Linked DNA regions of Arabidopsis thaliana. The protein of the gene in region 1 interacts with the protein of each later gene in a pairwise test. Each region holds a gene or a part of one and is shown on either strand. Other genes may lie near its edges. The genes, in order: AT3G56820 and LUL1.

Region 1 (4,658 bases):
ACATGGCAAATTCCAAAGCATTGACACTTTACTTATTAGCTATAGACATTATAATGTCATTTTTTGGCTAGACATTATAGTGTCTTTCATGTTTTGTTTCCTATTTTGAAGTTTAATTAGTGCTTACTGGCTTACAAAGTAAATTATCACTCAACTCTAGATAAACTTCAACTAGACCTTCGAATACAACATGATGGGGATTCCATTAACAAAATTAAGAACCCTAATCAAATACTAGGCATTTAGGAGTTTAGCACAAGGCTCTATGAGAAACAAAAGGGCATTATTAAGAGTGTTCTTTAAGATTCATGACCTTGTGCATGCTGGACAGAGAAAACTTTTAGAGCTTTTTTTATCAATCCTATAAGAATTAGATATTTTTTGTACGAGTAATTGTAATTGCATCATTAATGGCACTCTGTTTTGAGACCATAAATCATTTACACGTTTGAAGAAAACAATTTATGCTTTAATTTAACAATTTTCGGTAAGCAGAAAAACTAACACTGCTCACAAATTTTACATGTAGAGATATATTTCCATCTGTCAAATATAATTGTGATTGAAGTTTTTAAAATACATAAAACATTTTGATCATAAATAATAAGACTTCGTAATTGATTGATTACAGTGCTGAGTTGGCAAATTGCAATAAGATTTTTTTAGAAAGACATGCATTGCACATTCAGCTGTGAAGAAACAACAAACTCTACATACGAATTGATTCTCACTGATCAGACTAATCTTACCATCATATCAATGAACACAACATTGGAAGTTTCAGGTTTATAATCTCAGTAACAATATGACTGACCAGTCAAAACAAAGCCTACTCTATACAAATAAGGGCTCGAAAGAAAGAAAAGCCAATGAAAATTTGAATGAACAAGAGAAACTAAACTAACCCACTTTGGTTTATAGATCATTCCATACTTTGTAGTCGCTAGTTGAGCTGTTGTTCTGCATATGGTCTTGGCAGCCTATGAAGAAAGTAGAACGCACAGGATCTACATTTACTAGAGCATGAGCCGTGCCACTCTGACTAACAGCTACAGCTACCTCATCCTCTCCAATTAACACTTCGGCGTAACCTTTATCGACTTCGTGGTTTTCCAGCTGCATTCATATAGGTTTGTCCATAAACAATGTTTGATTGATGATTTTGGTTCATCTTGACCCGAGAGCAGTAAAGAAATGGAAAACCAGGGCACAATCATCACAGGAAAAAGGTTCAAACAAGTAAGATAAGCCCACTTAGTCACATTACTAAACATCTTAATGGAAGAAACTCGATTTTTCATTCTTAGACAGTGATTAGTGGTTCAGTGATCCGTGAGTAAATGACTGATGATATTAGTCCAATAGTCAAGAACATCTTTATGATAGATTCAGAAGTGATTTTCACCTTTATCTCAATAAAAAGAGTCCCAACGCAGAATCTAAGACAAAAAATCAGAAAACCACATCAAAGGAACTGAAATCTAGAGTTTGTCTAGACACCTTAAACACTCCCAAACCCTCAAACCAACCAAAGATAAGCCTGCTCCTGCAGCTGTTCAAACCTCTACTTACACACATCATGTCACACAGGTTTAGTTAAGTTGGCATAGCATTAGGAAAAACTCTGAACTCTCCTTTCCACCTTCTTTACCAAGAGTTATCACATACCATTCAATGAAGCATTGGATACTTAGATAAGCAAAAACAGAAATTCCTTTCTGTTAGAGGTGTTCAACAGACTATAACTCTTCCATTATGTTTCAATCAATGAGATGGATGATGAGACTTACCCTGAATTTTGTCTTGGCTCCCCATATGACAAACGTCTCATTACAGGTATGGTGTCTATGGTTTCCCCTCAATCCACCAGGCCGTATTTCACCAACATGAATGGAAACACACGATGCGGCTCCACCTTCAAACAAGTGAAAACATGAAATGTGAATCTCCAGTACCGAGAAAAGAGAAACTTAGGATTACACAATAGTCTCCTTCAAGGTTAGGCAGTCACTCCAAAGATTATCATTCCTAGAGTGACTAAAGACATAGATACTTTTCTCGATACATGCTTCCAAAATTATTTTAACCTCAATACATTATTAATCTCAGGAAGAAAATGAAAATGATAATTTAAGCTACAGATTTTCTCAGTTTCAATATACTCAAGAACCCTATACGAATTGCTGTTTATCAACTTCCTAATTAACATTCGTAAGAATTGATCAGAACCTTTGAGCTCAGAATCACGAGCAAGGATAACGGGATCAAGCAACCAACCACGGTCGTCTTTCCGAGCAGGAGAAAGCGACGCCAAACCGAACCGGACCAAATTAGCCTTATCGTCGTCGTCGTAAACTTTCAAATCGGGATGACTATTTACCGTCGATTTCGGATGTGAAGAGGACGAAGAGACGTGTGATTGTGAAGAGTGTTGTAACCTGAGGGAGATCCATGTGAGCAAGAGGAACAACGAGAGAAGCAGAGGAATCGCTTGAGGCTTCTTCAGTAGGTTGATTAAAGGTGACAATCTCTGGTTCTCGATCACTACTCTTCTAGGGTTTGCCATTTTCCAACTTTCTTTATCTTCCTCTGTTCATTTTGATTTGGTGTTAATTAATTAATTTTGTTTTATAGAGTTTGATTAATTAGAGAGACAAAATTTGACTGGTTAGCTGGCGGGTTGAGCCAGCCCTTGCAGTAGTGCAACGCATGGGCGACTCTTGAAAGCCCAGATAGCAAGCTATCTTAGTGGGCTTTCTCCCTTAAAAAATAGAGTTAATATCGTGTGGGCCGATGGCCCACATATCAGATATTAAACTGATAAGAACAGATACTACACTTGATCTTAGCCAAAAGGCCGAGAAAGGTATGAATTGGACAATGGGCTCAGCTTTCTTTATATATTACACATCTTATGACCAATGCTCTCTAACTTGTCGATGTGGGACGTTTAGAAAAATAGACTCTTTACGCATCTATAAGCAAACGCGAACATATCAATAAGAGACATTAGACATCTGGTTCAATATATGTCATGGGCTTAGCCATCTGGTTCTTGTCGGAGATTTTGACAACGTCGTCATGGTTTGAAACTATCTTGCTTCTGCCTCTGTGTGCTCTTTTGAGATCAATTGCAGCACTAGGAAAGACCATAAGAAATTGTGAGCTGGTGATACTTGAAGATCAGTGATCTGATCTGTGCGCACAGAGGAAAACTGGAATTTGATGAGTGTGTGTTAAAAAAAAAAGCTGGATCCTCCTAAAGAAGAAAGGTGGAAATTTTCGAAATTACTTCAAAAGTCTGAAAAGTGGAAGATGTTTCAGGGATCAACGTTTTTATAATTATCGATCTGCAGTTCAATGATGCTTCGACTGAGAATCATATACAAGGTATTAAAGACAAGTCTCGAGTATTGTTTGCTGGTGACTGGCCTTTGGTAGGTTCGAAGGTTTGGTCTATGTCTTCTACCTTGTGATTTGAAACGCTGAAACATAAGATTTGTCTTCATCGAACGTTAAAGTCTTCACAACCCTCATGTATTGGTTTCAGGCATAAAGGGGACACAGCTTTTCAAAAATTTGCTGACCACTCTCCATTCTTGAGCCAGGTTACGCTGCCTTTTCCGAGGTCCAAGCTAAAACCTGTGTCCAGTCAAAAGGGTTTTCACACTTTTCATTAACTGGAACCATCACAAGAGCGTAAAGACAAAAACTGATAAACTTTCTTTCATAAACTTCATACTTGAATGAGTCTAGGAACAGTCCCAGGGCGAGTCCAGTCTTCCAATAGTTAAACATGGTGATCGTGCTCCGCATCTTGTTGATTAATGGAATAGAAGCTCTGTACATTAAAGCTCCAATGCATTCAACTACAAGCACAGCCAATCCAGCAGATAGAACATCCCAGTCTCCTGTTTGTCCTATGAATGTAGAGAAAGCAGTTGCAGAGTAGAATCCCACCAAGAGAAAGAACAGTTTCTTGGGGAGATCTTTCTTTATCTCCTGAATTTTCACCAGAAGCTTACTTCTGAGAACTTGTATGGCTTTGATTAGCCGTAGACCTCTGGAGCTATTATTACTTGAAGAACCAGATGCTGGATCGAATCTGTCCCCACCAACCGAGCTTTTGATAGTTGTCCATGACATCCTCCTGAAAAATTGCAAAAGACCCACTTAAACTTGGACACTCGACAATGGATTCAACATAAGACCTTCTTTAAGACAGTAGCACATCTCACAACAATCGAGAAGTCTAAGCAAACTTGGAGGTCTAAGGATTTCACTTACTCCATATTAAGTCCGATAAAGCACAAAAAAAACATGATTTATATATCATTGCTTTGTATATATATGTAAGCATGGATTTTACTGGTTAGTATGGTCTCTGCCTTTATAGACAATATACAGAGATCTGCAAGAGATATTTCAGGTTTTGCCAAAATCCTCAACCATTGAATTTCCAGCAGATCATTATATAAAAAGCCACACCAGGAACTCTAACTTTCAAGCCACACATTGATGCTTGAAAATGTTAGAAACTTGCCTTTGATGTCTGACCAACAGAGGCTGTGCAGGATGAAGGAAATGACAGAGGGAACAAATGGCAAGAGACAAAGCACCTTTGTCTCTGAAACTCCTTTTAGGCAAGAACTTACTTC
Region 2 (3,858 bases), on another chromosome or scaffold:
TTGTTGATAATGACGACAACAAGAGGTTCTAGAATATTCGTGTTGGTTTCATTATTATTAGCAAATAAGACCAAGTCAACAAACTAACTTAAACATTGTGGATCGTCCACTTGTCCGACTCTTACGTCAAACCCATCATTGTTCCACATATCTCCACGCGTCAATCTCTCTATAAATACGAACAAATGAACACGTATCAATTCAACTCAAAAAGTAACAATTTGAATTACTTCCGCAAATCTAAAATAATATCTAGTGAAGCGAATATGTGTTTCTTTGATAATCGGTGCGATCAGAATCTGACGGTGGTGGTGGATGTGGCGTGGTGGATGGAGGCTGTTCCTCCACAAATCATTTCTCCGGCGAAGCCATCGGTTTCTCCGATTCTTGAGACGATTTTAGAAGGCGGAGAGACCGAAGAAGACAATCAAGAACAAGAAAACGAGGACGTGTAAATTGTAATGATCATTTTGTTACTCGGTCTTGGGTTTAAGATAGACTCTTGTTGTTGTTGTTGTTTTTTCTATAACTGTATAAGATGAGATTTTGTATTGTATCTTTTGTACAATCAAATCTCAGTTCTTTGTGAAATTTTCATTCAACTTTCACATCTTGTACGCTCGGTGATCTGTTGTTATATGCTCACGAGTTGGTAATTAAAGACAAATCTTAATATACTTTCTAACCGAACCGGGACGATAACCGGTCCACGACAAAAAATCAGTATCTTCAAATATCAAACCAAACTTAAACCTGAAACCAGTCTCACCGCTATTTCTGTTTGGTGCGATCATTTTCTCAACCAAAAGAATCTAATTTACATTAATTTTTAATAAAGACATGTATGATTTATCTGCAAACTAAAGCAGTGTACGCATACTTATGTTTCAACTTTCGAGCATCACCTAAATATGAAACATAAATATCACGTGCGATAAGTATTAAGCTGCGTCCTATAAAAAAGTATACAAATATATAAAGATCACTTGATGATTAGTTAATTACACTACTACTATTCCTCTCTATCTCTATAAATATCAGCAATAACAATAATTTCCACATAGATCTTCTCAACACAGTCGAAAGCTGCCGAAGTCTAAATCGAAGAAAGAGTATATTTACAAATCATGGCTAGGATGATCGGACCATTCGAAACTGTACCGGCGATTCTTGTTTATCCGATGAGGGTTTCAGCTTCGCCTTCGCTGGGGACAATTTATGAGGAACACGATGAGTAAAATTTTAACAAGACAAGATCAAAACTCGAGTGTTTAATTATTTTTTAATCCATTTTAATGAAATATTCATTTTGAAATATATCTTGATAGTGCTTTCTATTTCTTGGTTGATTTCCACTTTAAACTCTTTTTTATCGACGTTATTATGATCTCCTATATAATCAGACATAAGAGAAGATGTTTCTTAATGACGATCAGTGCAAGATGTTTCTTAATGACGAGCAGTGCTTCTTGTAATCGCCGGTATTAATGGATGTGTTTCTTTGTTTTCCGATCAACCTCCAAAACCAATCTCGTGTCTCCGGTTTTGTCATTTCGTTTCTTCTTATTTTGTAACCGTGATATTGTTGTGAGGCCTTGGGCCTATTGCCTGCCTAGTGCTACTGATAATGATTTCTTTGTTTTATGTGATTAAAAGTAATAATCAATTTCCCATGGTAATTAATCAAGTTTAATACTAATTTATAATATATACAAATAAACGTTTTGGTGTTTCTTCGTCGACGTCGCTATCTCCAATCTCATTACTCCCCTTTCTCAATGATCATAAAACCTACTTCGATTCTACTCCTTATCAACTGAATCACCGAAAAACCTCACCTTTTTTCTTTTTCCGATCATGGGGAATCTGATCAGTTTGATCTTCTGCTGCGGGAGAAGGCAGAGGAGCAATATTCCTCCGGCGATGGAAACGGCTCCTCTTGAACTCCCACCGAACAGATTTGTATTCGCCGCCGTGCCACCATATCTGAACCCTAACCCTAACTACGTTGACCAGTATCCAGGTAACTGCCTTCCTCCGCCAGTAACTGAGCCGCCGATGCTACCGTACAATTTCAACCATTTGCATCACTATCCTCCCAACAGTTACCAACTACCTCATCCTTTGTTTCACGGCGGTAGATACCCTATACTGCCGCCTCCTACGTACGTCCACCAGAAAGCCGTCACGATTCGTAACGATGTTAATCTGAAGAAGAAGACTTTAACGCTCATACCCGACCCGGAGAATCCGAATCGACTTCTTGTCTCCTTCACATTTGATGCATCCATGCCCGGAAGGTTTTACTTTCAAACTATGAAATGATCAAATTTAGTTAAAAGTTTGAATCTTGTTTGAATCAATCAATGGAGTAATATAAATGACTTAGCTTTTGTTGTTTTGGTTGGCGAGAACAGGATCACAGTTGTTTTCTTTGCTACAGAAGATGCAGAATGTAATCTTAGAGCTACAAAGGAAGATACTTTGCCTCCAATCACTTTTGATTTCGGAGAAGGACTTGGTCAGAAGTTCATACAATCATCTGGAACGGGTATAGACTTGACGGCGTTTAAAGATTCCGAGCTATTCAAGGAGGTGGATACAGATGTCTTCCCGTTGGCGGTTAAGGCGGAGGCAACTCCAGCGGAAGAAGGAAAGTCTGGTTCCACCAATGTGCAGATTACTCAAGTGGTGTATACCAAGGAGAAAGGAGAGATTAAAATAGAAGTGGTGAAGCAGATACTATGGGTGAATAAGAGGAGGTATGAGCTGCTTGAGATTTATGGGATTGAGAACACGGTTGATGGTTCCGATGAGGGAAAGGAATGTGTTGTATGCTTGTCTGAACCACGCGATACAACTGTTCTTCCTTGCAGACACATGGTATAGTGTTCATCATACTTAAAATTAGCTCATATAAAAAAAAAATTGAACTTCTTTTGAAATGGTTTGTGTATTTCTGTTTGGCAGTGTATGTGTAGCGGGTGCGCAAAGGCGTTAAGGTTTCAGACAAATCTGTGCCCAGTTTGCAGACAACCTGTTGAGATGCTTTTGGAGATTAACAAGAACGGATGAAATGGAGATGGAGAATGAACAAATTTAGTTAAGCAATCGACTTGTGTAATATATGCCATGCTTAATTAAGACGTAAAACGTTATGGTTCAATATATTATAAGTGGAAACTGAGTTCTTAAATAGCAATGATAAACAGATAGGCAGCTTCTTATTTAGTTATAGGTGCTTGGCCAGGAGCTGTGGTGGCCGAGGACCAACTATGGCAAACACAGAAGGTGATGGCATTACAACTGAGACAAAGACAGACACGAATCGACGTAGATAAGACTAAGGCGAAGCGAGATTGAGTTTTACATTGGTTTAGTCTTCCCACCATTGATGAACAAACACACCTCTGGCTCTCAGAGTTTGAAGCATGTTGATGCAGTCTGACTTGTGGTTGGAACAGCGGAGGAAAAGCTCATCCACGTAGCATATGACTCCTGTTTCCAGTAAAACAGTTAGGAACTTCATTTCCACTTGGTTTGTGTTCATCTTAAGGACTACAAAGTCTGCGTATTTCGCAGTTTCCTCAAACCAAGCAAGGAAATCGAATCTCTCATCTTCTGGAAATGGTTCTAGCTGTTCAAGCGGAGTTATCTTTTTCCCTGTCGAGTTGTTCTCAGCCAAATCCGGATGGTAAACAAAGGTGACGCCGGGTTTCTTGACATAGGATAGCATTACTGAAGTGTTGTGGTCGACAAAGTAGACATTGAATGCTTTGCTGTCGAGTGGGTATAACGGAAAGAACCAGTTTGGAGTTAAATTAGCATCCATGTGCTCGGCTGCTCCAATGTCAATGT

The links.
Region 2: the proteins of AT3G56820 (region 1) and LUL1 interact in a protein complementation assay, tested with the Arabidopsis thaliana proteins (one large-scale study listed by BioGRID).

What each region holds. Positions count from the first base shown.
Region 1 is NC_003074.8:21,039,146-21,043,803, forward strand, and holds AT3G56820 (RmlC-type cupin), read right to left. Parts: upstream 2,616-4,658; 5' UTR 2,567-2,615; coding exon 2,230-2,566; intron 1,916-2,229; coding exon 1,791-1,915; coding exon of another isoform or gene 1,761-1,790; exon of another isoform or gene 1,117-1,760; coding exon 916-1,116; 3' UTR 600-915; downstream 1-599. Other genes in the region: AT3G56830 (YCF20-like protein (DUF565)), read right to left, coding at 3,636-3,642, 3,743-4,150, 4,544-4,658.
Region 2 is NC_003076.8:759,667-763,524, reverse strand, and holds LUL1 (RING/U-box superfamily protein), read left to right. Parts: upstream 1-1,684; 5' UTR 1,685-1,857; coding exon 1,858-2,300; intron 2,301-2,417; coding exon 2,418-2,883; intron 2,884-2,970; coding exon 2,971-3,075; 3' UTR 3,076-3,206; downstream 3,207-3,858. Other genes in the region: DIP2 (E3 ubiquitin-protein ligase), read left to right, coding at 186-455; AT5G03204 (uncharacterized protein), read left to right, coding at 1,128-1,238; CPUORF47 (peptide upstream protein), read right to left, coding at 3,377-3,858. UniProt on the Arabidopsis thaliana protein: Acts as an E3 ubiquitin-protein ligase, or as part of E3 complex, which accepts ubiquitin from specific E2 ubiquitin-conjugating enzymes and then transfers it to substrates (in vitro).